Neurospora crassa OR74A: one gene and its partners. The protein of the gene in region 2 interacts with the protein of the main gene of each other region in a pairwise test. Links are inferred from orthologs where the notes say so. Each region holds a gene or a part of one and is shown on either strand. Other genes may lie near its edges.

What was found.
Region 1: the proteins of NCU07712 (region 2) and NCU06090 interact in binary tests that used the Saccharomyces cerevisiae proteins (3 or more experiments, as listed by UniProt). The link is inferred for Neurospora crassa OR74A from reciprocal best matches to the Saccharomyces cerevisiae genes DBP10 and RRP14.
Region 3: the proteins of NCU07712 (region 2) and NCU05289 interact in binary tests that used the Saccharomyces cerevisiae proteins (3 or more experiments, as listed by UniProt). The link is inferred for Neurospora crassa OR74A from reciprocal best matches to the Saccharomyces cerevisiae genes DBP10 and NOG1.
Region 4: the proteins of NCU07712 (region 2) and NCU01301 interact in binary tests that used the Saccharomyces cerevisiae proteins (3 or more experiments, as listed by UniProt). The link is inferred for Neurospora crassa OR74A from reciprocal best matches to the Saccharomyces cerevisiae genes DBP10 and LOC1.
Region 5: the proteins of NCU07712 (region 2) and NCU03669 interact in binary tests that used the Saccharomyces cerevisiae proteins (3 or more experiments, as listed by UniProt). The link is inferred for Neurospora crassa OR74A from reciprocal best matches to the Saccharomyces cerevisiae genes DBP10 and SPB1.
Region 6: the proteins of NCU07712 (region 2) and NCU09131 interact in binary tests that used the Saccharomyces cerevisiae proteins (3 or more experiments, as listed by UniProt). The link is inferred for Neurospora crassa OR74A from reciprocal best matches to the Saccharomyces cerevisiae genes DBP10 and NOP12.
Region 7: the proteins of NCU07712 (region 2) and fkr-4 interact in binary tests that used the Saccharomyces cerevisiae proteins (3 or more experiments, as listed by UniProt). The link is inferred for Neurospora crassa OR74A from reciprocal best matches to the Saccharomyces cerevisiae genes DBP10 and FPR3.

Annotation. Positions count from the first base shown.
Region 1 is NC_026507.1:1,847,947-1,852,166, reverse strand, and holds NCU06090 (hypothetical protein), read left to right. Parts: upstream 1-1,420; 5' UTR 1,421-1,658; coding exon 1,659-1,679; intron 1,680-1,801; coding exon 1,802-1,885; intron 1,886-1,995; coding exon 1,996-3,486; 3' UTR 3,487-3,939; downstream 3,940-4,220. Other genes in the region: NCU06089 (exonuclease), read left to right, coding at 1-775. UniProt on the Saccharomyces cerevisiae protein: Involved in ribosome biogenesis and cell polarity. Required for the synthesis of both 40S and 60S ribosomal subunits and may also play some direct role in correct positioning of the mitotic spindle during mitosis.
Region 2 is NC_026504.1:2,110,052-2,113,994, reverse strand, and holds the start of NCU07712 (ATP-dependent RNA helicase dbp-10), read right to left. Parts: upstream 2,801-3,943; 5' UTR 2,687-2,800; coding exon 2,374-2,686; intron 2,308-2,373; coding exon 1-2,307. Other genes in the region: NCU07713 (DnaJ domain-containing protein), read left to right, coding at 3,121-3,234, 3,318-3,893. UniProt on the Saccharomyces cerevisiae protein: ATP-binding RNA helicase involved in the biogenesis of 60S ribosomal subunits and is required for the normal formation of 25S and 5.8S rRNAs.
Region 3 is NC_026504.1:5,445,647-5,449,654, reverse strand, and holds the start of NCU05289 (nucleolar GTP-binding protein 1), read right to left. Parts: upstream 2,801-4,008; 5' UTR 2,609-2,800; coding exon 2,577-2,608; intron 2,521-2,576; coding exon 2,491-2,520; intron 2,390-2,490; coding exon 2,361-2,389; intron 2,296-2,360; coding exon 2,278-2,295; intron 2,208-2,277; coding exon 2,064-2,207; intron 1,962-2,063; coding exon 901-1,961; intron 830-900; coding exon 185-829; intron 92-184; coding exon 50-91; 3' UTR 1-49. Other genes in the region: NCU05290 (orotate phosphoribosyltransferase), read left to right, coding at 3,230-3,931. UniProt on the Saccharomyces cerevisiae protein: Involved in the biogenesis of the 60S ribosomal subunit.
Region 4 is NC_026505.1:3,571,855-3,574,781, reverse strand, and holds NCU01301 (60S ribosomal subunit assembly/export protein loc-1), read right to left. Parts: upstream 1,716-2,927; 5' UTR 1,587-1,715; coding exon 1,278-1,586; intron 1,169-1,277; coding exon 848-1,168; 3' UTR 501-847; downstream 1-500. Other genes in the region: NCU01302 (hydrolase), read left to right, coding at 17-145, 200-343; NCU01300 (imidazoleglycerol-phosphate dehydratase), read left to right, coding at 2,155-2,431, 2,515-2,927. UniProt on the Saccharomyces cerevisiae protein: Required for efficient assembly and nuclear export of the 60S ribosomal subunit. Involved in asymmetric localization of ASH1 mRNA.
Region 5 is NC_026505.1:2,021,513-2,025,484, forward strand, and holds the start of NCU03669 (AdoMet-dependent rRNA methyltransferase spb1), read left to right. Parts: upstream 1-1,172; 5' UTR 1,173-1,315; coding exon 1,316-1,483; intron 1,484-1,550; coding exon 1,551-3,327; intron 3,328-3,394; coding exon 3,395-3,865; intron 3,866-3,944; coding exon 3,945-3,972. Other genes in the region: NCU03668 (WD domain-containing protein), read right to left, coding at 1-122. UniProt on the Saccharomyces cerevisiae protein: Required for proper assembly of pre-ribosomal particles during the biogenesis of the 60S ribosomal subunit. Specifically methylates the guanosine in position 2922 of the 25S rRNA at the stage of 27S pre-rRNA maturation.
Region 6 is NC_026501.1:5,442,282-5,446,363, forward strand, and holds NCU09131 (nucleolar protein 12), read left to right. Parts: upstream 1-1,282; 5' UTR 1,283-1,584; coding exon 1,585-1,595; intron 1,596-1,658; coding exon 1,659-1,722; intron 1,723-1,783; coding exon 1,784-2,893; intron 2,894-2,962; coding exon 2,963-3,562; 3' UTR 3,563-4,018; downstream 4,019-4,082. Other genes in the region: NCU09130 (hypothetical protein), read right to left, coding at 1-680.
Region 7 is NC_026501.1:5,029,454-5,033,434, forward strand, and holds fkr-4 (FK506-binding protein 4), read left to right. Parts: upstream 1-1,181; 5' UTR 1,182-1,440; coding exon 1,441-1,530; intron 1,531-1,626; coding exon 1,627-2,070; intron 2,071-2,140; coding exon 2,141-2,804; intron 2,805-2,863; coding exon 2,864-3,069; 3' UTR 3,070-3,709; downstream 3,710-3,981. Other genes in the region: NCU16390 (hypothetical protein), read left to right, coding at 212-366, 430-610. UniProt on the Saccharomyces cerevisiae protein: Proline isomerase that belongs to an abundant class of enzymes that catalyze the cis-trans isomerization of X-Pro peptide bonds and can accelerate the refolding of proline-containing polypeptides. Specifically binds nuclear localization sequences.

The DNA of each region.
Region 1 (4,220 bases), on a different chromosome or scaffold from region 2:
TCAGACCAAGGCGAAGAAGGCGGCAGCCAGGAAGTCGGAGTCTTTCATCATGTCGGATGACTCTATCGAGGAAGCTTTTCGGAGCGTTCCGGATGCTGTATGGAGTTCGTCAAAGGCTCGTCGTCGGAGCGGAAAGGTTCAGTTTGTCGAGGAGTCACCGTCCTCTGAACCAGTGTCTCAGGAGAAGGAACAGGAAGATTTGGAAGAGCCATCTCTTCCTGCGATGCCAAGGAGTACCACCATTGATGCCAGCAGCGATGCCGAGGACGAAGTGGAAGTTCCTGGCTCATCATCGCAAGAGGCCATCACCAAGAAAAGTGTGAAATCCCAGACGCCGCTGGGCCCTCGGCTCCGGCAATTCTCGTATCAACCAGGTAAACCCGGTGCTCGCCTTGTCAATGGTCTGCCTACACCTTCCTCAACCCAAGAGAGATCTGCTGCGGTGCGTAGATCATCGTTGAATCCAAGCTCGCCCATGTTGACTCCGTTGCAACGCATGGGAGCCCGGGCATTGAAGCAAGTTACACCCCGCGCCACGCCTCCTAGCAGCCTCCGCGCACGTAAATCAAGCAAGCCGAGCGAGGCTCTCGGCTCCGTCCAGGTGGATCCCGCCGCCATTCCGTTGCCGTTGGCCGACTTTGCTGAAGTTAGAGCCCTGAACATGTCGCTTCAGGGGAGCGAGGATCAGATTATTCCTGAGAGTGATGGAGAAACCGAATTGGGCACGGCAGCCACTCGTCCGCGACTTAACTTGGCGCAGTACCTGTATTCGTGAGCCCCCAACTCGTGCTCTCTGGAGTGTATTAGGAGAAGCCAGATATGTGGTGTGCATAGCTCTCGGCGTATCGGTAAGGAAGAAACCCCGCCTGGAAAATGGGTGGGCTTGAATTGTACTATGGTCTGTTGTAAGGAAACGAGGAAAGATCATGGGTCAGGAGTATTATCAGGCAAAGAAGGCAATCATGGAAAGAGCAGGCTGAAGTAAATGAGGAGAACTTCTATTGCCTGTTATGCGATAACATTGCCCTGATGGGCCATTCATTGATGGCCTTTGTCCAGAAGGTAGCTATATCACTTTAGTAGGAAATAAACAAACAATGGTAACCATGATGAAGGAACACTGTTGCACCTGTCAAGACACTGTCAGGAGACATGTCACCATCAGATCCAAACATAAATCCTATAGGTATACTATACACGAGGTAGACGGGAGCGTGCTAGAATAGGCAAGTATCCCTCTAACCGCGATAAGATCGATGAGTAGGTGCCAGGGCAGTTCACCGCCTTTGGCAGAATGCCAGAACCCCAAGCGTGAAAGTGTGGGGCAAGGTGCTGGGGGGCTCCACACTGCTGGGAACAATCCACTAAAATTTCACTGTAATCCACTGGCGAACAAAAATTCATCGAGACGGGAAACAGTCGCTCGACCACAGCCGACCCGCCCTCCACTGTCTCAATTTTTCCATCTGGGTTTCGTTTCGATACCTCGACATACTACCTCGACCATTATTCCGCCCGCTCGACATCACTCACAACCCCATCACAGCGAAATCCCGGATTCGACTTTCTTTGTCGCCTCAATCACCTAGGTCTCTCTATTTTAGCGACTGGCAATCAACCAGGTCGACTCGTACAAGCGAAAACCAGCGTGTGCAAAGATGGCGGATACCGATTTGCAGGTAAGCAGACCGGCGCTGGAATGCACACCACCGATACGGTGATACCCATGGGCTGGTAGTTGTGGCCAAACTGGGATGGCTAGAGTTCGACGCTGACCATGCCGTCTTGCGATTGCGAACAGGAGCGCCTGCGTTCTCACGCTCAGGCCTTTGACGGTCTACTGTCGCTGATCCCAGCCAAGATGTACTACGGCGAGGACAATAGTGTACGTTACCCCCACCCGTTGACTTAGCTCTTCATCATAAACTCAACCATTGATGTTGGTGTCAAAATGCCTTCGATCGCGTCGCTGATCCCAAGTAACCCCGCCAACAGGATCAGTGGAAGAAGAAGAAGCAAACCAAGGAGCAGGCAAAAGCTGCTAAGCGGGGGAAGCTCGATCCCGACAGTGAACTCAACCGCAACGCCAAGGAGGTCATGGAGGAGCGCGCCCGCAACAAGCGCAAGCTCCAGGAAATGGAGGAGAGCAGCACTGAAGACAGCGACATCGACGTCGAAATCCCTGGTGTTGAGAAGGAGAAGCCTCTTGAAGGACTGAAGAAGAGGGTCGTCAAAGACGACGCCGAGACAGAAGAGTCTGCGCCTAAAAAGCAGAAGCTTTCCGAGGAGGAGGAGGAGGTGGTGGAGGAGGAGGCCGTCCCCGCTGAGAAGCCCTTGAGCAAGAAGGAGCAAGAAAAGGAGGCCAAGCGTCTCGCAAAGCTGGCCAAGCAGGAGAAGAAGAAGGCCAAGCTCGAGGCGAAACTAGGCAAGGGTGGAAAGACGGAAAAGAAGGACGACACCGCCGAAGAAGCCAAGCCTTCTACCGAAGCTAACGAGGACGACGAGAACGACGATATGGCTCCCATTGATGTGTCTGGTCTCGTAACAAAGGAGGATGAGGGCGAGTCCCAGGAATCCGCTCAATCTTCTGTTTTCGACAGTCGCGACAAGGCCGGTTCCGCCGAGCCTGCCAGCGCCAACACCTCGATCTCTTCCGCCGTTCCCCCATCGGATAAGCCCAAGTTCAAGCTTCCCGCCGATACCACGGTTCTCCGCGAGCGTCTCGCCGCCAAGATTGAGCAACTCCGTGCCGCTCGCAAGGTTGAGAAGGACGACGAGGGTAAGCCCATTCGCACTAGGCAGGAACTCATCGAGATGCGCCGCGAGAAGGAGGCCAAGCGCAAGGCCCACAAGCGCGAGCAGAGACAGAAGCAGAAGGAGGAGGAGGATCGGAAGCGGTCAGAGGCTATTGCCAGCTCGCGCAACTCTCCCCTAAGCATGCTCAGCCCCAAGGACGATGTTGAAACCAACTTTGCTTTCGGACGTCTCGCCTTCTCTGATGGTGTTCAGCTTTCTCGTGACGCCGCCTTTGTCAAGTCCGACGGAACCAAGAAGAAGGGCCCCACGGACGCCAAGTCCAAGCTTGCCAAGCTTGAGGCGCAGAAGAAGCGCCTCGAGGCCTTGCCTGAAGATAAGCGCAAGGAAGTCCTTGAGAAGGAGACGTGGCTCGCTGCTCGCAAGCGTGCCGAGGGCGAGAAGGTTCACGACGACGAGCACCTGCTCAAGAAGGCTGTCAAGCGCAAGGAGAAGGCAAAGAGCAAGAGCGCCAATGAGTGGAGAGAGCGCAAGGAGGGCGTCGCCAAGGCCCAGTACGATAGGTCAAAGAAGCGCGAGGAGAACATCAAGAAGAAGCAGGACGAGAAGAAGGCCCGCAAGATGGGCATCAAGGTCAAGAGCGGCAAGGGCGGTAAGGGTGGAGGAAAAGGTGCTTCCAAGGGTAAGAGCAGGCCTGGATTCGAGGGCGGATTCGGTGGTAAGAAGAAATAAGCGTCGGATAAGGTGTTCAGCAAGGGGTGTTTTGTCTTTTTGGAGAGAGATGTTGATACCACTGCTGCTGCATAGCGGCAGATGCTCGGGAGGCTGGCATATCCTTTTCCCATTCTTCTGCCTTGTCGCTACGTACATATTTCTTGCTGGAAGGGGGTAACAGGTGGTGTTTTTGGCGTTTGTTTTTTTTCCTCATGGTTTTTCGTTTCTTTTTTCTTTGCACGGTCGGAATGGAAAAAGAGATTATATCACACGTACATATCACAACTGGACCAGATCACGACAAGCGGTTAACATGGTACGAGGCTGGGCAAGCCTTGTCTTTTGTTCTTTTATACTTAGCTAGCTTTTAGTAGTGGTGGCGAAGGGAGGAGGTAGGGGCTGGAGGTCCCCCTTCTTCTTCAGCGAGGCAGCATCTTCAGGGAGTTAAAAAGTGATTATCAGCTCACCGAGTCTTTTCTCTTTTTTTGTCCGGTGACTTGAATTGGTGATGTGAGACGCATAGCTTCCCTTTCTTGCTTGTCTGATACCGAGGCGCTCTCCGGTGTAGGCGTTAAATTCCAGCTGTGAAATGAGGTGCTGTTAGTGCTGGGTGGTCGGACTCTACTTTATTCGCAATCAAAGCACTAACACGGCGCCTGGAAGCCGACATAATTCTAGGTGATGCTACACGATTTTATCATGATCGGAGCAACCCGTGTTCCGTTCCACAAGGGAAGCTTGGAAGGGGTTAA
Region 2 (3,943 bases):
TGAACTTGTCCGCATCCTTGGGCGCCTTCTCCATCTTGTGCTTGTACCGCGGTTGGCCAGGTTGGGCTCCGAAGTTGCGGATGAGCTGCGACTTCTCCGTCTCGCCAATCGTGGGCAACTTGCCGAGACGGTTATCCTTGCGCCACCGGTCGAAGCGGCCGCTCTTGAACGAGGCGGCAATCTTGACACCGGACTCGCCACGAATCATCTTGGCGCCCTTGGAGCCGTCCTCATCGTTGGCGACCGCCACGTACTTGCTGTGACGCTTGTCCCAACGCATCTTGGATTTCGTGGGCAGACCGAAGTTCTTGGCACTCTCGTCGTTGGTCAGGTCCATGGTAGCGTCGCGAGCGGCCTCGACGAAGCTGTTGCCGCTGTAGCCGCCCGAGTGAACACCGTAAGCCTTCTCCTCCGCAAGGCTAGTGGTGCGAGGCGTGTAGGACATGAAGATCTCGGGGTCTTGGAAGTTGACCGGGCCACCCTTCTTCTTCGTATGCATGCTGCTGGATACTGTAACCTCCATCTCCGAATCCGAGTCGTCGGCGTATGGGTCTTCCTTGGCTTCCGCCTCTTCTGCCTCTTCCGCCTCTCCCTCCTCTTCCTCATCCTCAAAGTCTTCGAACGCATTGGTCTCCTCGCCGTCAGGTTTACCCTCGGCATCTTCCATGTCCACGTCCTCATCATCCTCGTCGTTGGTAGTCTTGCGCTCCTTGAATCTGGAACGCATGTTTCGTACAACTTCCGCGGCCTTATTGCGGCTAGACTTGCCCTTAGGGCCAAGTTCAAAGATGGTTTCCTGGGGCTTGAAGCGGTTTATCCTGCTGAGAAGATCATCGCGAGCTGCCTGGGCTTCAGCGGCTTCTTCTCCAAACAAAGGATGGAGCTGTGTCCAGCCCCTGGACTGCGTAACTTCGCGGGCTCTCTTTGCGCTCTGGCTCGACGCAGAATTCCTCGTCTTCATGTAGAGCTTCTCGGCCTTTGCGGCAACACCCTTCAGCGCCTTGAGATCGGCACTCTCCTTGAGCGCCTTCTCAACCCACTCAATGTTAACATCCACTCCATCTCTCTTTAGTGTTCCAACTACGACGTCTGCCGCGAAGGAAGGGTTCTTCTGATCGTGGCCGATAATAAGTTTCCTTCCCAGGAAGAGCTGTAGATCAAGTAGATATGGTACGTCTGACTGACGGACCAAACCATAGGCCCAACCACGCTGACCCGCACGAGCTGTACGACCAACACGATGGACAAAGATCTTGGGCTGAGATGGGAAATCGTAGTTGATGACGTTGGCGAGAGCAGGCATATCAATACCACGGGCGGCGACATCGGTAACCACGAGAATATGTGTTCTTCCCCGACGGAAGTTGTCAACTTGGATCAAACGGGCCGTCTGGTCAAGCGAACCGTAAACGTAGGACACGGCAAAGCCTGCGAGTTTCAACAGGTTCGCAATGTACTCGACGTGATGTTTCGTTGCTGTGAAGATGATGGTCGAGTATTCCGTCGGCTTCTCCTTAGGATTGGGCCTGTACTCGCGTTTCCTTTTCCTCGCCTGCAATTCGTCACTCTCTTCCTTTGTGCCCTCGGGCGGACCCAGCGGGACCTTGATGACGTCGTGGAGAAGATGGAGAAGGGCACCCTCCTTCTCACCTCCCTTTACTGCGAAGAAAGCACTCTCGAGGTCGGGTGACACCTTGGTTTCGGCATCCAACCTGACAAGGCTTGGCTCTTGAAGACCGGCTCTGGCGAATTCGACCAAGGACGATGGGAGCGTCGCAGAGAAAAGAAGCGTCTGTCTGGAAGGAGGGAGGGCGTGAAGAATTTCGGTCAACTCAGTAGCGAAACCCATTTCGAAGAGGCGATCAGCTTCATCGAAGACAACGTATTTGATGGAGGCCAAAGAGAGGTTCATTTCAACCTTGAGATGGAGGAAACGACCGGGTGTGGCGATGATAATATCGGGATTCGACGCCATCATACCAAACTGTTCTTCTAGGCTGTCACCACCGACGAGCAATACGGTCTTTAGATCGGTACCTCTGCCGAGTTCCTTGACGACCTTGAGGGTCTGCAACGCAAGTTCACGCGAGGGAGACATGATGAGCGCCCTCGAGCCAACACGTGGACTGTGCCCCTTCAACCTCTCAATCATGGGGATAACGAAAGCTGCAGTCTTTCCGGAACCGGTTCTGGCCATGCCGACCACATCTTTTCTTTCTAAAATCAGGGGGATCGCTTTGCGCTGAATGGGGGTCGGGACGGAGAAGCCTTTTCTGGTAATCGCTCGGAGGAGATGGGCGTTTAGACCTAGGAGAGTATCAGCAGCTGCCCCAAGCATCATCAACTTATGCCATGGGACGGAAGACTACGCACCCATTGCCTGGAAACCTCCACCCTTCTTGACTGATTTGCCCTGAATGTTGGAGGACTTTCTCTGCGAGCTCCGTGTGAGCGAAGCGATAAAGGCTTCGTCATCATCGCCCTCGCCATTAAAGCTAGGTAGTCCATCATCGCCGTTACCGAGAAGATCGTTGAAATCGAGGTCAAGCCCGCTGTTCGTAACAGCTCCCTTCTTGGTGTGGTGCTTGCTGCTGTTGTCTTCGAAGTCGCTGTCGTTGTTGAACAAAGCACCCGCGATGTCAACCTCGTTCTCGGACGGTGTGGGGGACGCTGCGCGTCTAGGCATGGTGAGCGAGGGTTGTGTTGCTGCCAATTGCAGCACGAATCGCTAATTGAAGATGCAAAGACGGACGGGGTGGGTTGGAGTTTAGGTTGGTGATGATGATGGGGTCTTGGGGTCTCTTGTCTACTGTAGCCATCAATGCCTGCCCGTCACCCGTAAATTTTGGATGGTCGACTTTTTAGTGGGGCCAATGTGACATTTATCCATTATCAGCTTATCAAGTACACCCATTGCATGCCCGTGGGTTTGCCTTGGCAGCGCTGGCGTGCGTTAGCTGTGCTTTCCGCGCTCCTGGAGGTGTCGCAAGTCGCAACTACTGAACTTCCCTAAACTTCCCCGGAGTTGCGTTCCGTTTGGTAGACCGAACTTACTTATCCATCAACCCTTTGTAATTGATCAAACAAGCATCCAGATTGACCCTCCATTCCGGCGACAATATGGCGACAGACACTAAGGACGTGAAGGACGTTAAAGACGTCAAAGACGAAACTCCTGCCGACACTCGGGATGCGCTTGAAGTGCTGGAATCTGAAGCCAAGGAGTGGGAGAAGGCAAGCCAGACAACAACCACGCCCAACTATACCAACATTTACATCCCCAACTCAGTAGTTGCTGACAATCTAAATTCCGACAGGATGCCGAGATCGACCGTATCTTGAAAGCCTTCCGGCTCGACGCCTACTCAGTCCTCGGCCTCAAGCCCGGCGTGACCGAATCCGACATCAAGATTGCTTACCGCAAAAAGTCCCTGCTGATCCATCCCGACAAGACCAAAAACCCCTTGGCGCCTGAGGCGTTCGATAGACTGAAGAAGGCGCAAACGGAGCTAATGGAGGAGAAGCACCGCAAGAACCTAGACGAAGCTATCGCGGACGCGCGCATGCTGCTGATCCGCGAGAACAAATGGACGGTCGACAGCCCTGAGCTCAAGACGGCCGAGTTTGAAAAGAAGTGGCAGGAAAAGACCAAGTTTGTGCTGATCGAGAACGAGCAGCGACGACGCAGACAGCTCAAGGCGCAGATGCAGGAGGAAGGCCGCGAGCAGCGGAAAGCTGACGAGGAGGCTGAGCAGCGCAAGCGCAAGAGGCAGCACGAAGAGGACTGGGAAAAGACGAGAGACCAGCGCATCGATAGTTGGCGCGCGTTTCAAAAGGGCAAGTCTGGGGATTCGGATAAGAAAAAGAAAAAGAAGTTGAAGCCTATTGGCTGAGCAAGAAGAACCTGCAATGCTCTTTCATATGAGCATGCGCAGCAATATTC
Region 3 (4,008 bases), about 3.3 Mb from region 2:
ACACACCCAACCCAACCCAACCCAAACATATATGGATCATCGATCCAAATTAACGACGCTGTGTCTTGCCGACGGTACGCTTGCCGGAGAACTATAGAAAACATGTGTGGTTAGTTTAGGAATGAAAAGAGAAAAGAGAAAAGGGGGATTGAAGGAAGGGGAAAAGAAAAGAAAAAAGACGTACCAAATGCTTGGGCATGGTAGCACCAATATGCCTGTCGGCCTCGCCGGCTCTGGCCATCCTGTTCATCTTGCGCTGGCCGAGCTTGGCCACCCTCTCGGCCTTGGAGCGGGCTGTCTCCCCGTCCATGCCCACACCACCAGTAACACCGTCGTCGCGCCTGTTTGTCGCGCCCTGGCCACGCTGGGCCGGACGGCTCTGAGAGCGAAGACGCTCGGCGGCGCTCTTGGGCGTGTCCACCTCCATGGCGTCGGGGTCCTCGGTGGCGTTGCGGCTGCGGGCCAGCGAGCGGCCGCGAGTGGGCTCGCGCACCTGGGCACGGCCGCGCAGGTTGATCTCCTCGGTGTCGACGCCGAGCTGGTCGATGTGGTCCTCGAGCTGGGCGAACGACTTCTTCTGCATTTTCCGGGGGATTATGGCGCGGTTCTTGAGCGACTTCTTCATCTTGGCCTCGTTGCGGATCAGCTTGTGCTTCTCGCGGATGTACTCGGCCTTTTGCAGGATCTCCTCCTCCGACTCGTCGCCGAGGTCCGAGTCCGACTTGTAGAAGCCCTCCTTCTCGAGACGCTCCTCTTCCTCTTCGAGAGCGGCCAGCTTGGCCTCGATATCGGGGTCGATGAAGTCGTAGACGTTCTTGCCGTCGACAATCTGTTCGTCAAAGCGTGACATGTTAGTAACCGGGTTTAATTTGGGGGAGACGGAATGCGAGAGATACTGACCTCGGGAATCTTGTCGTACTTCCACTCGGGGTTGGCCAAGATCCAGTTCTCCCTGAGATCGACGTTGAAGACACCAGCACCACCGTTCTGCTCCTCGATATCCCTGGCGAGAAGTTTCCTCTCGGGGTCGGCCTTGTCGTACTTCTTGAGACCCTTGACGGCCTCGGGAATGAAGGTCTCGCGGAGAACACCATCGGCGGGCTGGGCGACGTGAATACGGGACATGACCTCGGTGAGACGGGAGCCCATGGTGCCGTTGCTGCTGGTACCGGCCTTGTACTTCTGGTTGACACGCTCAACGAGGAGAGCCTCGCAAACGGTGTTCTTGACTTCCTGGACACCGTCCTGAGTAGCGCAAGAGGCGCGCAAAAGCTGAATGTTGCCGGACTTGGTAAGGTCCATGAGATCGGCCTGGGATTCGGGGTCGAGGTCCTCAACGGTCTTGATATCCATCTTGTTCAGGACAACGTAGACCATCTTGTTCTCGAAAAGGGGCTTGATGGACCTAAACAAGTTGCACTGGGCCTTGAGCGAGTAACCGCACTGCTCCGAGATATCGATGAAGAACATGACGGCGGCTCTGAGATGGGCAAGGGCAGTAACTGACTGCATTTCGATGGTGTTCATCTCTTCGAGAGGGTGGTCGAGAATACCAGGGGTATCGATGACCTGGTAACGGAGGTACTTGTAGTCGAGGTGGCCGACGAACAAGCTCTTGGTGGTGAAAGCATAGGGCTCGACAGGGGTATCAGCGCGGGTGACGGAGCGCACGAACGAAGACTTGCCGACGTTGGGGAAGCCGGCAACGAGGAGGGTACGGGTGGTAGGGTTGATATCGGGCAATCTGGCCAAATGCTGGCGGACCTGGTCGAGGTAGGCGAGAGGGTCTTTCAGACGCTTGATGAGGGTGGCCATACGACCGAGGGCGGCTCTCTTCAACTGCTTGCACTGGTACAAACTTTGCGAGTACTTGAGGAGACGGACGTAATCACGAGAGATGGTCTCGATCAAGTGCTTGGCGGTCGAGACCTGACCAAGGGCAACCTTGAAGTGGTCGGCATCTATCCATCACCTTGTCAGCCACTATTCCCAACAAGACCAGGCGCGGTTCACAACCCGCTGTTGCTGAAACCGCCTGTCGCAGGGAAGCGCGGGATTCGTACCGTAGAGAATGTTCATCAAATCGCGGTGGAAAGGATGCTGGTCGGCGAGGATGGGGAAGCTCGAGACGATGGCGCCGAACTTTTCGCTGCATGTTTCCTGTGTGAACTTGACCTTACGGGTGTAGAAGGCTCTAATTCTGCTGACTGTTCGGTGTCGCGTGTCAATGATCTATTCGAATTCTCATACAAAGTATCGGATATCGAGACGACATACTCTTGAAACCAGCACGAACTATTCAAAGTAAAGGTTAGCGATCATGCCATGCTTCACGTAATTTTCCACATTGTACAACATACTCTGAGTCGGCAAGCGACGCTGTGTCCTCCTGTTGAACAGTTAATATCCTTCACCACCGTGGCCAAGCCATTGGACTCGAACTCGAAGACTTCGCATCGTCGTGGTTGGGGGCTGCCGATGTCGACTTACGAGAGGATGATGTCGATGAATTCCTGTGCCCTGTAGAAGCGAGTTAGCGATGCCAAACAACAACACAACAACCAAGATGTCCTTACGTAGGCACAGGGGCAATGTCCTTCCACGTCATTTCGGGTATAGATGTCAAGCACTTGCTGGTGAGAAGATCTCGGACTGGAAGTGCAGGACAATGAGGTCGGACGGACGGTCTGAAGGATAGAGACCGGCTGCGGGGGGAGGGGGCGGTGTTGGAGGGCGACGGGGAGGCGCTGCGCTGCCAAATGGAAAGTCTACTTCGAAATATTTTTCCAGCGGCTGCTCCAATCGATAAGATAACAGCAGAGTGCCAAAGTGGATTGAACCTAGAGGTAGTGTGCGCTGCCAAGACATGCTGCCAAGGGGTGCTTAAGGATTCGGCTAGTGTGGAATTTAGGATTTTCTAACCCCACATTTTTTCAGGGACCCCACCGCGCCCAAGTGGCCGATGACCGGGCTTTCGCGGGCCTGGCTCCTGGAACTAGGTGGCCCACTCGTAACCCACCATCTGATTGACTCGGTTGAAAGACTGCCGCGTGTGACGCCGCCAGGAACTGAACCCTTCCTTCGGCCCCTCCCTCCATTTTCTCAATTTTCCCCAGGTTCCTCCAGCTATTCAGTTGCCAGGCAGACAGACGTCAACGCTGTTCTTCTGAAATCTCTTCTTCTTCTTTCAGCTTCAATTCCAATCCTACAAACACTACGTACCAGCACAATGGCCGCTCTCTCGCCTTACAAGGCTGACTTCCTCAAGGCCTCCATCGACGGCGGCGTCCTCAAGTTCGGCAGCTTCGAGCTCAAGTCCAAGCGCATTTCCCCCTACTTCTTCAACGCCGGCGACTTCTACCGTGCCGACCTTCTCCAGGCCATCTCCACTGCCTACGCCAAGTGCATTATCGAGGCTCACAAGAGCGGCCAATTGGACTTTGACATTGTTTTCGGCCCCGCCTACAAGGGCATTCCCCTCGCTACTGCTGCCACCGACAAGCTTGCCCAGCTTGACCCCGAGACCTACGGCAAGATCTGCTACTCTTTCGACCGCAAGGAGGCCAAGGACCATGGCGAGGGAGGCAACATTGTTGGCGCCCCTCTGAAGGGCAAGAGGATCCTCATCGTTGACGATGTCATCACTGCTGGCACTGCTAAGCGTGAGGCTATCGCCAAGATCGAGAAGGAGGGCGGCATTGTCGCTGGCATCGTCGTTGCTCTTGATCGCATGGAGAAGCTCCCTGCCGCTGATGGTGACGATAGCAAGCCCGGCCCCAGTGCTATGGGCGAGCTCCGCAAGGAGTACGGCATTCCCATCTTTGCCATCCTTACTCTGGACGACATCATTGAGGGCATGAGGGGTCTTGCCTCCCCTGAGGACGTCGAGAAGACGGAGGAATACCGCGCCAAGTACAAGGCTACCGACTAAACGCTGGAGTTGGATTCTCTGATAAACTAGTAACATGTATATCACAGGTTTGTTCGCCCAGTACCCTCTGACCATAG
Region 4 (2,927 bases), on a different chromosome or scaffold from region 2:
GCTGACAAATTACTAGATCGCTGTTGAGGAGGCCATTCCCTACCAAGAGATCAAGCAGAACCCCTACACGGTACTTTGCCTCACGTCTCTCGGCGGACATCTTTCATGGTTCGAACTTGGTGGCGGACGATGGCATACTCGTCCTGTAAGTTTCTTTTTGCCTCACTTTCCGGTAACTTTTTGCTGATTTGTTGTCTAGATCTGCAACTTCCTGAACAAGATGGCTTTCGATATTGACTTGGACGCCATCAAGCCGGATGCTTGTGACAAGTTCGATAGCCAGTTCAGAACTCACTTCGACCCTGTGCAGCGAAAGTTGCAGATTCTCGATGTGGATCAATAGATGGTGGTGGAATGAACACTTGAAAAGAACGAAGACTGTACATAGATTAGCTATAGAGATGGGTCCATCGATTGGGCCTAAAGGGTCTAGACGCGCTTCAAGGCACATTGGGGCTGCACATAGACTTAGATTCGCGCTTTCGACTTGGATACAGGTTCGAACGTACGTTCATTGATGGCTTATGCGAGCCACGAACTACACCATCCTGACGGTTTCACCTAATAACATCTACCGACTCATGAGAAAAAGAGGCTGGACCAAGGCTGGCGTGCCCAATTGGTATCTTTAATTTCCACACACAAAATCAGTCAGAACTGTTCCCCCAGCCAAGCCATCCTACCCGCCGCCAGACTTTGATTGATATAAACGCCCAGACGCCATACATGCGAAGAAAAAATGCTTGGTGTAGGTATTACACGACAAACTTCCACCCTTCCTGTCTTCATTCTCCCAGCCCATTCCCAGGAGGGACCTTCAAAGCTCCCAGCATCCTTGCTTGATTATTTATTCGGGAGCAGCGAAGGATACCGACTTCTTCTTTTTCGACTTAACGGCTTTCGTGCCCGCAGACGAGAACTCCTTGACATCTCTGGAGTCATCGTCGTCGTCGCCCTTGCTACCGCCCGATTGCTTGCTGCGCTTACGCTTCTTGCGCAGCGAGTCCTTAGTCTCTTCGAGTCTGGCCTTGCGCTCAGCCTCCTTCTTCTCGGCTTCAGCGCGTCTCGCCTCGCGGATCTCCTCCATTTGTCGCGCCTTGATCATCTTGGACTCGATCTGGCCCTCCTTTTCTGCTTGTACGATGGCTAGGATAGTGGCCATGCTCTCCTGTACAAAGGGGGAAAACATGTCAGTTACTTGATGCTTTCCGGTCTTGAAACCTAGCAAGAAAACAAAAAACCAATATGACCCCAGACGCTAACGAAAGACAGCTTACCTTGTCATCCACAAACACCTTGCCCTTCTTCTTTCCCTTTGGCTTGGTCACACCAACGGGGGTGATCATGTTGAGTTCCGGAATCGCAAGCTCCTTTTCGCTGTAGGTCTTCTTCTTCTTCTTCCTGGCGATAAGCTCCTGGATGTTCGGTCGGCCCTTGCTGGCAGTCACGAGAGTGTGAGCTTTGCCCTTCGGCTTTCCCTTGGACTTGAGCACTCCATCGTTCCTCGACCTCTCCGCATCTTTGCTGCCCTTGATGCCGGATTTGTTCGCAGCGTGCTTGTTCTTTATCGTTTTTGTCGGCGCCATTGTGAGTTGTGGTTGATTCGTTGATAAGGTCGTAAGAAATCAACGATAGATGAAATGGTGGTTCGGGATATGGATGGGTGGATGGAGTACGAATACTCTCGAATGTATCCTGTACGCTGTCGCTTCAGTTCGGTCGACTTCTGGGGAAAATTTTGGGACCGGAATTGGTCCCTGCCTTATCTTATCGCGGTTAATCCAAGGTACCTCTAGAGCTTGTGCATATAGCACTGTATCAACGCCTGCTGAGCGCGGTTACGGGGCAGTGGGGTCTGTCAGCTCGCCGTGGGGCTGCCTTGAAATCTCTAATTGGCAGCTGGGGATCGGCAGGCGAGCAGGAAACTCTAGTTTCCTTCTAGTGTAAGCGCGGGGTTGGCAGCACTAGTGGAGGTACCTATTCCATATCGATTGCCTATCGGTGCGTTCCCTCACTGGTGGCACTCCGAAATCGCCAAAATTTCCAAGATCACCTTTATTGTCGCCATCCTTACATCGCAATTGATCACACTGCCGTGGTGATATCCCAAGAGTCTACAGTCCCCAGAAGTCTCAGACGCCCTATTCAGACAAAATGAGCACCGAACAGCCCGCGCCCCGCTGGGCCGCCTTTGCACGCGACACCAACGAGACCAAGATCCAGATCGCACTCAACCTTGATGGCGGCGCATTCCCTCCCGAGACCGACGCCCGCTTGAACGTCAGTATCGCCGACGGCCATGCCACTCAGGCTAGCAAATCGCAAACTATCAGCGTCAATACCGGCATTGGTTTCCTTGACCACATGCTCCATGCGCTTGCCAAGCATGCCGGCTGGAGTCTTGCGCTTGCTTGCAAGGGCGACCTTCACAGTTAGTAGACACACTTGGCTTGGGCGCAGAAGTCCTCGTGGAACAACATCCAGAACTCTGAATTGACTTTGTCCCTCTCATAGTCGACGACCACCATACCGCCGAAGACGTCTGCATCGCTCTTGGTTACGCCTTTGCCAAGGCTCTCGGCACACCCACCGGCCTCGCGCGCTTCGGATCCGCATACTGCCCTCTCGACGAGGCCCTCAGCCGTGCCGTCGTCGATCTGTCGAACCGTCCCTTTGCCGTTGTCGACCTCGGTCTTAAGCGCGAGAAGATTGGCGATCTCAGCACCGAGATGATCCCCCACTGTATCCATAGCTTTGCCGGGGCTGCCCGCATTACCGTGCACGTCGACTGCCTCCGCGGCGACAACGACCACCACAGAGCTGAGAGCGCATTCAAGGCGCTTGCGGTTGCCACGAGGCAGGCTACTAGCCGGGTGGCGGGTCGCGAGGGTGAAGTTCCTAGCACCAAGGGAACGCTCAGCGTATAA
Region 5 (3,972 bases), on a different chromosome or scaffold from region 2:
TCCTTGGCTGCGCTTCGCGGAGGAGGAGAGGACGGAATGGGGGGAATGTTGTTGCTGGTGTTCAACGACGACGAGCTCTTAACTCCCAAAGGGGTTGAAGTGCTGTTGGAGTTATCGGCCATGGCGAAAGGATTCTCTTCGACTACCAGAGCGAAGAGCTGGGTCCAGGCCGCTTATGCAACACGATACCTAGAGACGATGTACACGGGGCCGGCGACGCTGGATGCGCGCGACCTGGCAGCGAGGGGCCGCCGATGGCAAGGGTACGCGGAGACAGAGAACAGGCTGTGGTGATGGATATTTGTACAGAATCAGTTGAGCAACAGCTGGCGCAGAGGTATTGCTGGCAAGTGTCGACTGGATATTGGACAAGGGCTGACGTCGAAGTTGCAGGCTAGGCTGTGTGCAGCAAGCAGGCTGAGCTTGAAGAAGGACGGGAGGTCGAGGTCGTCGTTGAGAGACAAGGTAGGCGGCCGGGGGGGGCGTAAGGTATTGGCGCCGAGTTTATTGGTTGGCGGATTTGGTCGTAGTAGTATGGGTCCTCTGAGTGAAGTGGTGCGGCCGGAAGGGGTATGTCTATGTCGGTTTCTGGTGTAAGTGTGTCCTTGGTAGTATGGACTTGAAATTGAATGCGTAGGTGGAGATGTGATGGAATTGGATTTGGTTGTTCGTTTCTGTTGTGGATTTCCCTTGCGTGGTTCAGTTCCTAGAAGTACCTACGCTTTTGCTGAGTTCCCACTTGAGTACCTAGGTTTGCCGGGCAACCAAATCGACAGCCATGGAAACCTGACCTGACCTGGCCTGACCACCCATGGACTCCATTGAACACCTCCTCCAGTGGGCAGAGGCTGGGCGTGCGGTCCGTAGCGGCCGGGGGTCGGGGGGGAGGCGCCTAGAAGGAATGCGGTTTAGTGCTCCATCAGGGGAACGCGAAGACGCGGGAACAAATGACGCGCTGCATCGCGAAAGCTTAATGGCTTTTTCGTCCCATAAATCGCGGTTGCTGAAGACATGAAGATTGGTCAATGCACTGCACTTCAACCGCGGGATGTCTGGCCCACCCTGATGGGGCCCGTCTTGCTCGTTGCCCCACCAGCCGCCGGAGTCCAGTCTCTTATCGCTTATCGCCCTGCAGCTGTCATCCAAAAAAATCATTCTGCAACGACGACCCTGCAATCCCTGCGCTGCGAGTGCTGGAGGGAAGAACAGTCAAAGGGCACCCGGACTGCCATTTTCACCAACCCAAAAAAGTCACCAGGTCGTCCTGCTCAACAACACCAGTCGGAAACACCCCCCGACTTAGAGCACCGGCACCATGGCGATCCAAAAGAAACACGGCAAGGGCCGTCTTGACAAGTGGTACAAGCTTGCCAAGGAGAAGGGTTATCGTGCCCGTGCCGCCTTCAAGCTGATCCAGCTCAACAAGAAGTATGGATTCCTCGAGAAAAGCAAGGTCGCTCTCGATCTTTGCGCTGCGCCCGGTGTAAGTCATAGTCGTGAACATCCAGTTTATCATGGAGTGAACTAACCATGTCTGTGTCCGTCCCTAGTCGTGGTGTCAAGTCTGCGCCGAGACTATGCCGACAAACTCCATCATCATCGGTGTCGATCTTGCTCCCATCAAGCCCATCCCCAAGGTCATTACCTTCCAGAGCGATATCACCACCGAAAAGTGTCGCGCAACCATCCGCTCCCATCTCAAGACATGGAAGGCCGACGTCGTTCTTCACGATGGTGCGCCCAACGTCGGTACTGCTTGGGTCCAGGATTCGTACAACCAGGCCGAACTTGCCCTGCACTCGCTAAAGCTGGCCACCGAGTTCCTTATTGAGGGCGGTACGTTCGTCACCAAGGTGTTCAGATCCAAGGACTACAACTCCCTTCTCTGGGTTTGCAACCAGCTTTTCGCCAAGGTCGAGGCTACGAAGCCCCCTTCGTCCCGTAACGTCTCCGCCGAAATCTTCGTCGTCTGCCGCGGCTTCAAGGCCCCCAAGCGCATTGACCCCAAGCTTCTCGACCCCCGCTCCGTTTTCGAGGATGTGGCCGGCCCCGCCCCCAACAACGAAGCCAAGGTGTACAACCCCGAAGTCAAGAAGAGAAAGAGAGAGGGTTATGAGGAGGGAGACTACACCCAGTTCAAGGAGATCTCTGCCAGCGAGTTCATCAACACTGTCGATCCCATCGCCATTCTCGGCCAGTACAACAAACTCAGCTTTGAGCAACCCAAGAACGGCGATGTAGCATTGGCTGCCCTCGACAAGCTCCCCGAAACGACCGAAGAAATCCGTCTCTGCTGCGCCGATCTCAAAGTGCTCGGCAGGAAAGAGTTCAAGCTTCTCTTAAAATGGCGTCTAAAAGTACGGGAGATCTTCGGCTTCCCCTCCAAGAAGACCCAGAAGGCAGCTGTGGACGAGGAGGTTGCGGTAGTGGAGAACATGGATGAGGAGCTTAGGATCCAGGAGGAGCTGCAAAGGATCAAGGAGAAGGAGACCTCCAAGAAGAAGCGCGAGAGGAGGCGCGAGAATGAGAAGAAGCAAAAGGAGATTGTCCGCATGCAGATGAACATGACTGCGCCCATGGATATTGGTGTGGAGCAGGAAGGTCCCCGTGGTGAGGGTGCCATGTTCCGTCTCAAGACTATCGACCAGAACGCTGCCCTGAATAAGATCGCCAAGGGCAAGATGGCCGTTATCAAAGAGACCGAGAAACCGAAGGATTACGACTTTGGCTCCGACGGCGAAACCGACGAGAGCGACGAGGAGGCCGATCGTCTGGAGGAAGAGCTCGACAACCTGTACGATCAGTACCGGGAGCGGAAGGCGGCGGCCGATGCCAAGTACCGTGCCAAGAAGGCCAGGAAAGAGAACGGCGACGATGAATGGGAAGGCGTATCTGGCGATGAGGAGAAGGGTAGCGACGACGATGACGATGAGGAACTAGAAGTGGACAGCAGTGATGATGATTCCGACTCAGAGGATGGTGAATCTGGCAAGAAACTTATAACAGATCTAGACGGCCAGCCAGAAGAGAAGGATGGTCTGTCCAAGCGGGCCAAGAACTTCTTCAGTCAAGGTATCTTTGCGGAGATACCAGGACTTTTGGAGGAGCCAGAATCTGAGGAGGAGGAGGCTCAGGAGGCTGAGCTTGTTGAGGCTGTGGAGGACCTCAAGGTTACCAAGAAGGAGAAGAAGGAAGCCAAGGAAACCAAGGCCAAGAGCAAGAAGGCGGCCGAGGAGAGCGATGACGACGACGATTTCGAGGTTGTCAAGAACAACGAGGATGACGACTGGGAGAACGTTGAGAAGAAGAAGAAGAACGGCAGGCCTGGTAAGTTTCACTCAGTCCCTCTTCAGTATGACCTGTTAAGGGCAATGGCTGACTATGACAACTACAGACATCGACATCATCACCGCCGAGGCCATGACCCTCGCCCACCAGCTCGCGACCGGCGAGAAGACAAGTTACGACGTCATCGACGACGGTTACACCAAGCACGCCTTCAAGGACCGCGACGGTCTTCCCGACTGGTTCCTTGACGACGAGTCCAAGCACGACAAGCCGCACAAGCCCATCACCAAGGCCGCAGCGCAGGCCATTAAGGAGAAGCTCCGGGCCTACAACGCCCGTCCTATCAAGAAGGTGGCCGAGGCCAAGGCCAGGAAGAAGTTCAAGCAGGCCCAGAGGCTGGAGAAGCTCAAGAAGAAGGCCGATATGCTTGCCGGTGACGATGGCATGTCAGAAAAGGAAAAGGCTGCTAGCATTTCGAAGCTCATGGCGTCGGTTGCTAAGAAGACGAGGAGGGCGCCTATCAAGGTTGTCAAGGCTGCTGGTTCCAACAAGGGTCTCCAGGGCAGACCTAAAGGAGGTTCGTACTATCACTACCTTAAGATCTGGTGTGTTCTTTATGTTGGAATGATGCTAACTCGGTTTTTTCAATTTTATAGTCAAGGGCAGGTACAAGATGGTGGATCC
Region 6 (4,082 bases), on a different chromosome or scaffold from region 2:
TCTTGTTGCTCGGTGACTGAGGAGCGTTTCCGCTTTAGGATATCATGTCGGGGTGATAGTGTGAGGATCTTTTCAGGCGAGGCGGAAACTATTTGTACTTTCTTCGCCAGCACGGGAGATCGCGCAGGTGGTAGTTTGGCAGCAAATTCAGGCTCTTCGTCACTCAGGTCTTCCGAGGCCTCTTCGTCACCCACTTCTGCTTCTTCTGAGGGAGTGTTTCGCCCGCTGGCAGTGTTTTCCGGTTCGTAATCAGATTTGATTTGCTGCTGAAGCTTGCTAGGGCTGCGCTCGAACGTCCGATCGCGGCGGTCGGTGAATTGTCGAGTGCCAGGCTCACCCGCGGTGTCTACGATGTCGCGCGATACTCGATCTTTCGGTGGTGTGTCGTAGAGCCTCTCTGTCTCTGCCTCGGAGTCATTAATATCCACGTCCGACAGCTTGCTCTCGTCGTCAGTCTCAGCGCCAAGGTCCGAGTCGACGCCATCGCGATTGTCAGTTCGGACCGATGTCTCGCGATGTTGAGAGTGGTTACTGTTCATGTCCAAATCCATGTCGTCAGGATCTCCATGCTTGTCTTCCACGTCACTAAGTGGGCTTGACACATCGCTAGGGCTGTGTTGGAGCAGAGGCGGAGGGGGGCTCGAGAGAGCCAAGGACAGCGCGGTGTCACCGGTAGCCATCGCGGATCATAGAATCCGACGAGATTGAAACTAAGCAACGACGCGCCAATGTTGGGTTGAGCAGCTGAGCAGTGGAAAGTTGGACGGCCACGTAGAATTTAGTCGTGGACGGCGGACTGGACGTCCGAACTGTACGGGCAGCTCAAGAGCAGCACCTGAAGTTGTGGCGCCACGATCAGGGTAAAGTGTGTTTATGCCGGAAGGTTAAAATGTGTGCTCGCACACAATGAAATGTCTCGGAGATATGGCTTTGTTGTCGGTACGAGGGCGCGATTGTCAAGAGATAACGTGCGGTCTGGGTAGGTAAAGTAGTAGGAAGACAGATCGGGAGAGTGAGGAGCGGGCAGTAGGTATCTGGTTGACGACCTAGACTGGGAGCTGGACAAGCGCCCACAGCACCGCACCAGCACGCAACACAAATGGGCAACCGGCAGGTTTCTGGGGGGCTCCATTGCCTGCCCGCTTGCCTGCCGCCGCCGCCCGTCTCCAACAGCCCAGCGCACCACACAAAGGCGATGGCAGGCGGTGAGTCTTGGCAGCTTTGATAACAACTGATAAGCGAGTTTTTTTTTTTAATGGGAGGATGCAAGATGTTCCACGGTCCTCGACTCGTCCTTACGATGCGCAGTGGGGAAGGTAGAAACGACGACCCTTTGAAACCCTGGACCATTGAACCTGCCTGCATAGAAACTGGTCTTGCCTTGTACAACATCCTGCTAGAAATCAGAAGTGGAAGCTTTGCAATTCGATTTTGACAGCATTTACAGCCAATCACATCTTTCGCCTCGTCGTCGAACTTCAGTTGTTTTTCCGTGCTCTTAGAACTAAGTCAATCACAAGTGCTTGATTGGCGAATCGTGCCACTTTCCCATCCATTGCGCTTACACACGACGGAAAACTCACAATGGGTAAAACGTGCGAACAGCCCTACGCTACAGTCAACGCCATTCTTCCAGTATTCTGACACCACTATTATAGTAAAGGACTCGTTGCGCCGGTGAAGAAGGTTGATCCTAGCTTGGATGCTTTGTTTGCTACCAGTGTAAGTCATCTCGCTCTGACCAGACAGGCAATTGGAAGTTTACATGGCTAATCTTGTGTAGGTTGGTCCAGCGAAGCCCCGCCCAGCTGCAAAATACTCCGAGCCCCTACCGACAAAGTCCAAGAAGGCGCCAGTACCTTCCAAGAAAGAGGAAGACGTTCAGGACGAGGGCGATGACGAGGAACTGAGCGAGCTTGACGAAGAATACGATTCCGAGGTCGGCATTGGAGAGGATGACGAAGACGACGAGGCTGAAGACAACAGTGACAGCGAAGACGAAGCCGTCGCGACCCTCGAAGTTGTTGTAGAACAAGGAAAGGTCCCGGAAGAAGATGGACCGAAACGGAAGCGGAAGCAACCCGACCAGCACGACAATCTCGAACACAAATACCTGTCCAAGTTGGCGGAGGACGATGAAGAGCCGGCTGGCAAGCGTCTCAAGGCCGACGAGCAATCCGGAGAAAAGAAGGATACCGCCAAGGCCGAGAAGAAGGACGACGACGACAGCGAGTCTGCGGATGAGGTCCCCGTTCACGAATCGCTAGCGCCCGATGCTGCCCAGAACGAGATTGAGAAGGCCAACCGCACCGTCTTCCTCAGCAATGTCGCCGTCGAGGCCGTCACCTCTCGTTCGGCCAAAAAGGCCTTGATGAAGCATATGGCTTCAGTGTTGGACAAGGAGGCGAAACCTGCGCAAAAGGTTGAGTCGATACGGTTCCGCTCGACTGCCTTCGCTACCGCTGCCATTCCCAAGCGTGCCGCTTATATCAAGAAGTCCGTGATGGAGGCCACTACGAAGTCGACAAACGCCTATGTTGTCTACAGTACCCCTGCGGCCGCTCGTCTTGCCTGCTCGAAACTCAACGGCACAATCGTGTTGGATCGCCACATCCGTGTCGACAGCGTTGCCCATCCTGCCCCGGTAGACCACAAGCGCTGCGTCTTCGTCGGTAACCTTGGTTTTGTGGATGACGAGACAGTACTGCAAGTGAAGGTAGACGAAGACGGTAAGGAGGTGACCGAGAAGAAGAAGCGGACAAAGCAGCCTATGGACGTTGAGGAAGGTCTCTGGCGGGTATTCGGTAAAGAGGGCGGCAAAGTTGAGAGCGTTCGTGTGGTCCGCGACCCTGTCACCCGTGTCGGCAAGGGCTTCGCCTACGTTCAGTTCTGCGTGAGTTATCACTTCTCTCTGTCTCTTACTTGCCCGTTATCAACTAACAACTCTGTTCCCCCTCCGTAGGATGAAAACGCCGTCGAGTCAGCCATCCTCCTCAACGGCAAGAAATTCCCGCCCATGCTCCCCCGCGAGCTACGCGTCAGCCGCTGCAAGGCCCCTCACAAGACCCTGCGTGCCATCGAAGCCAAGAAGCTCAAGGCGCAGGGTGCCGTTCCGGAAACTATGAAGAAAGGCAACAACGGGAAGAAGGGTCCTGGCTCCAAGAAATCCGACTACGCCCCCAAGATCTCCGCCGAAGCCAAGACCATCGCCGGCCGCGCTGAGAAGCTCCTCGGCAAGTTCACTGCCAGACAGGTCATCGGCTCCGACAAGAAGAAGACTTTCAACAAGCAGGACAGATACCAGGCCAACCAAAGGAGGAATCACGCCTCGGGCGCCAACACGGAGGCGACCGGTCCCAGAGTCCCGGGCGCCTACAAGTCCCCCGAGAGTTTCATTCTCGAGGGTAAGCGTGCTAGTGCGGCAGACGGAAAACCTAAGGATCTCAAGTTCAAGGGCGCCAAGAAGAACAAGGCGCCGAATGCGGGTGGTGGTAAGAAGAAGACTGGTCGTGCTGCTGCGAGGGCTTCGAAGTGGAAGGTTCAAGGGAAGGGGAAGAAATAAGTGCTAGGCCATTTGCCTGATGTTTAGGGTTGTTTGCTGGTATAGAGCCAACGGGCAGCAGCCGGCGTGGTGCGGGTGCGCGCGTTTCATCCGGCGCGGCCCGTGGATTTTCAAGCTTCAAGAAAAGGGGCAGAATTCGAAAGTGAACAGAAGCCTTCGATTCATGACGCGCGCATGTATGGATAGGATAGGATAGGCTGTAATGCAGTCATCGCATATGAAGGTATCTCAACGGACTGTCCCCAACCGCGTGATACTTCGCAATGACGGGAATGTGGAGGAAGAGCCTTGGCGCCCAGAACTAGGTACATATGTAGTTGTCTGAAATTGCAGTATAACCGTGGAACGACTGTTAAGCCTGGCTCCGTGGTTCTTGCGACAGGGAATCGCAAACAATACAAAAATTAACAACACGGCCACATTGAAAGAAAATAAAAAAGAAACAACGTGTAAAGCCTTCAAGTGCACCATACCAACTTTCTACATGATGTCTCGTGGAATTGTGGGTGAGCTGTGTAGG
Region 7 (3,981 bases), on a different chromosome or scaffold from region 2:
AAACGACACAAAAAACATCAGCAGAGTCCAACTATTTATCACCCAATCCCTCTGATAGCCTCCATAGACATCCGCTTTGAAGTGGCACCAGGAAAGCTTGACATCGTCTTGATTCCGGGACCGGAATCCTTAGCTTGACCTCTAAGAGGGCCCAGCCGCTCTGTCGTGGCTGGCAGGGCATGCGAACAACACCAGTAACAACCAGACGAAAATGACAGACATCCTAAGCGTCTACTCAGCCATCTACCTCTGCGGTGCGGCCGGGATACTCAAAAGCAAGCAAGCCTGTGGACCGCGAGAGTTGCAAGGAGATCTGCGGACGAGATTCGAGGACCAGGACGTTATTCGGGTGGCGGAGAAGTTGAGGTGGGTGGGGGATGGGAATCTTTGGCTTATTCTAGTGGTTTGTTTTCATCCCTTCCTGACTAGGCCCAGAAGACTGGGCCGACATTCGATGAATACTATAGGAGGCGTAACCAACGGCAATGATCTCGTTGCGGCTTACGCGAGGCAGAGCCGTCACTTCCCGGGCCCAGTGGCTAAGTCGGGATTGAAGCTCGTTAAGGTGGATGAGAGGCCGCAGAGATATGAAAATCGAGACAAGATCTAGAGACGATTGCGTTGATGATGGGATGACTGTGGCATGCTGGGTTATCAAGGTGTGCCTGAAGGTTCAGCCAGGGGCTTACCTAATCTTGCTTTGAATCCCTCAGAAATGCTTTCGTTGGTGAATCCTCTCACTCAGGTGGAGTGAACCGTGAGCCTGGGGGACCGATGTGATGTGGGATGGCATCGCCGGGAGACTCCAGACATGTACCTGTGGTGCATGGTGTTCATTCTTATACCTCCCACCTGATGCACTTTGCTCTGGCACCAATGAATCCTGCAGATGGCAAAAGATTGCAGTCCCGCGGCGACCACCTTCAAACCTCGAGTCGGTGATGACGAGTTGCAGTTTGAACATCCCGTCGTCGCAAGGTTCCCATGCCAGCTCTAGGCACATCAAGCGTCCGCGCACGACGTTAGCGCGGAGCTTGTCGAACTCTTCCCCGCTTTTGTTAGCAGACCGGCCTGCATTGACCGACATACCCTTGCTAGCTTGGCTTGGGGAGCGGGAGAGTGGCAGTGAACCGATAAGGAAGTCTTATCGCTACAGTAACAGACAGTACAGACGGTGGGGTGCCGAAATTTTTCTGGATTCCAAGTGCAGTTCGCCTGAACTTTTCCTGTCGACCGCCCTCGTCCTCGATCGCATTTTCTGCCTTTCCCAAGTCAAACTGGTCGCATCCATCTTCAGACTTTTTCTACCCAGCCCATTCATCTTCTTTCAATCTTAGAAGTGTATACTTCCGACGACGACTTCGAGTTCCTGTCTCTTTAGTTTTCTTTAAAATCTAGACTTTTTGATACCCCGGCGCAAAGCACCACCCAATCTTCACAATGGCCCCCCTTATGCCTGTCGCCGTTTTTGGCTTGGAGGTTCCTCCTGGCGAGATCCTCATTCCCGCCGCCTCTGAGTTCCCTGCTATCGTAAGTGCACACTTTTCGGAGCCTTTGGCCCTCTCCTTCGCAGGCAATGGCGCTCCACTGGACTGGGTTACACGGAGCTAACGACATGAATTCCAGATTCACATCACCATGGCCGCCCTCGATCCCACCAAGGCTCCTGAGGCTGACGGCCAAGGCAACATTCCCGCGCTCCCCCGCTCGACCCTGAAGATCATCAAGGCCACTGGCCACGACCATGACGACGATGATGAGGAGGAGGATGAGTACCTCCAGTCCCTCCTCGGCGGCGGCGACTCTGACGACGAGGCCAACGGTGGTCCCAGCGACCCTTCCAAGTCCAAGAAGGCCAAGCAGGAGGCTGCCATCAAGAAGCTTATGGCTGCTACCCAGGAGGAGTCTGATGAGGAGATGGAGGATGCCAAGCCCAACGGCAAGAAGGGCAAGGGCAAGGGCAAGGCCAGCGAGTCCGACGAGGAGGAGAGCGACGAGGAGAGCGACTGCTGCGGCGATGATGACCTCCAGCTTGAGGACTACGTTGTCTGCACCCTTGACACTGAGCGCGTAAGAAGCCCCATCCATTCGGTGAACGTATTTTTGAGTTCTTGGAGCTAACCTGATTCCCCATATACAGAACTACCAGCAGCCCATCAACATCACCATCGGCGAGGGTGAGAAGGTCTTCTTCTGTGTCCAGGGTACCCACTCTGTCTATCTCACCGGTAACTTCGTTGTTCCCGAGGATGACGAGGAGGACAGCGAGGATGATGAGGATGAGTCCGACGACGAGGATTACGACTTTCCCCTTGGTGGCGAGGATGACGATTCCGACGATATGAGCGACGAGCTCGACGAGCTCGATGGCACCCCCCGTGTCAAGGAGATCACCTCGGAAGACGAGGAGGAGGAGGCTCCCAAGCTTGTCGACACCAGCAAGAAGGGCAAGAAGCGCCCCGCCGAGGACGATGCCGAGGGTCTCGATGCCATGATCTCCAAGGACGACAAGAAGCTCAGCAAGAAGCAACAGAAGAAGCAGAAGGTTGAGGAGGCCAAGAAGGAGGAGCCTAAGAAGGAGACCAAGTCCGACAAGAAGGTCCAGTTCGCCAAGAACCTCGAGCAGGGCCCTACTGGCCCTGCCAAGGACAAGCTTGAGAACAAGAAGCCTACCTCTACCGTCAAGGTTGTCCAGGGCGTCACCATTGATGACAGGAAGGTTGGCACCGGCCGTGCCGCCAAGAACGGTGACCGTGTTGGCATGCGCTACATCGGAAAGCTCCAGAACGGCAAGGTCTTCGACTGTAAGTCTCACTTTTCCATCACTCTCACAGTATTGACTAGAGACTAATATTCAATACAGCCAACAAGAAGGGTGCCCCGTTCTCTTTCAAGCTCGGCAAGGGTGAGGTGATCAAGGGTTGGGACATCGGTGTTGCTGGCATGGCTGTCGGTGGTGAGCGTCGTCTCACCATCCCCGCGCACCTTGCCTACGGCAGCCGTGCCCTTCCCGGCATCCCCCCCAACAGCACTTTGATCTTCGACGTCAAGCTCCTTGAGATCAAGTAGATTGTGACGTTTCGAAGCGTGGGGTAGGAAGGCTTTGGCTAGCGTCGCGATTTCTATGGCGGTTGTCATCCACAACCTTTCGTGTTCTATGGCTAGCAAGTCTTGGGATTTCTTTGGTCAGCACATATTTCCTTGCGCTCATGTTGGGTTTGGTCAAGGAAGTGGGAATGTCATTTCAACAGCATAATGTCAAAAGTATTGGGTCTGGATTTCTTTCTGTACTTTGGGTTGTACATCGTTCATGGGGCACGATCTATTCTATATTGCGTCTATCAATTGCAAAGGCGCAACATTTCTACGTTACCTACACTCGACTCGGACTTGGCAAACTTGGATGTTTCGAGATGTCGAGGAAAGTGTCTTTGATTGACGGACGGTAATAACTTCCAGGAAAGCGTGACAGTTGGCTACAAACACTGGCTTTCTTCAGAATTGAAGTCGTACCTGCCCTGTCTGTGCCTCAAGAGGTCAGTGTTGTTGACCTGGGGCAAGGGAGGCACATCTAATGGGTAGGTAGTTCAGGTGATGCATAGGTATGGAGCTACCTTACTCCGAGTCGTCCTCTCTCACTGCACCTTGTCGTATTTCAACACACTGACAAAGTCCATCCACGTCTTCCCACCTCCCCGCTCTGCTTCCATCTCTCAATAGGTATCGTCATTGTATCTTTCACTATCATCATAGCCGCCGCGACTCCCGACTGCCGCCAAACTAGGCATTGTGCGTTACGATCGACCAACTTAGACGCCGCAGCGGTTTCTACCATTCAATGGACAGGACCGAGCTTGAGACATGAAGAGGAGCTCTTCCCAAACATCAAGTCATTTGGGTACCGCCATCCCGGTTTATCGTCCCACTAAGCCTGACGACTGCTCGCCTAGGTCGTCTCTCGCTTCTTCTTCACCCAGTCAA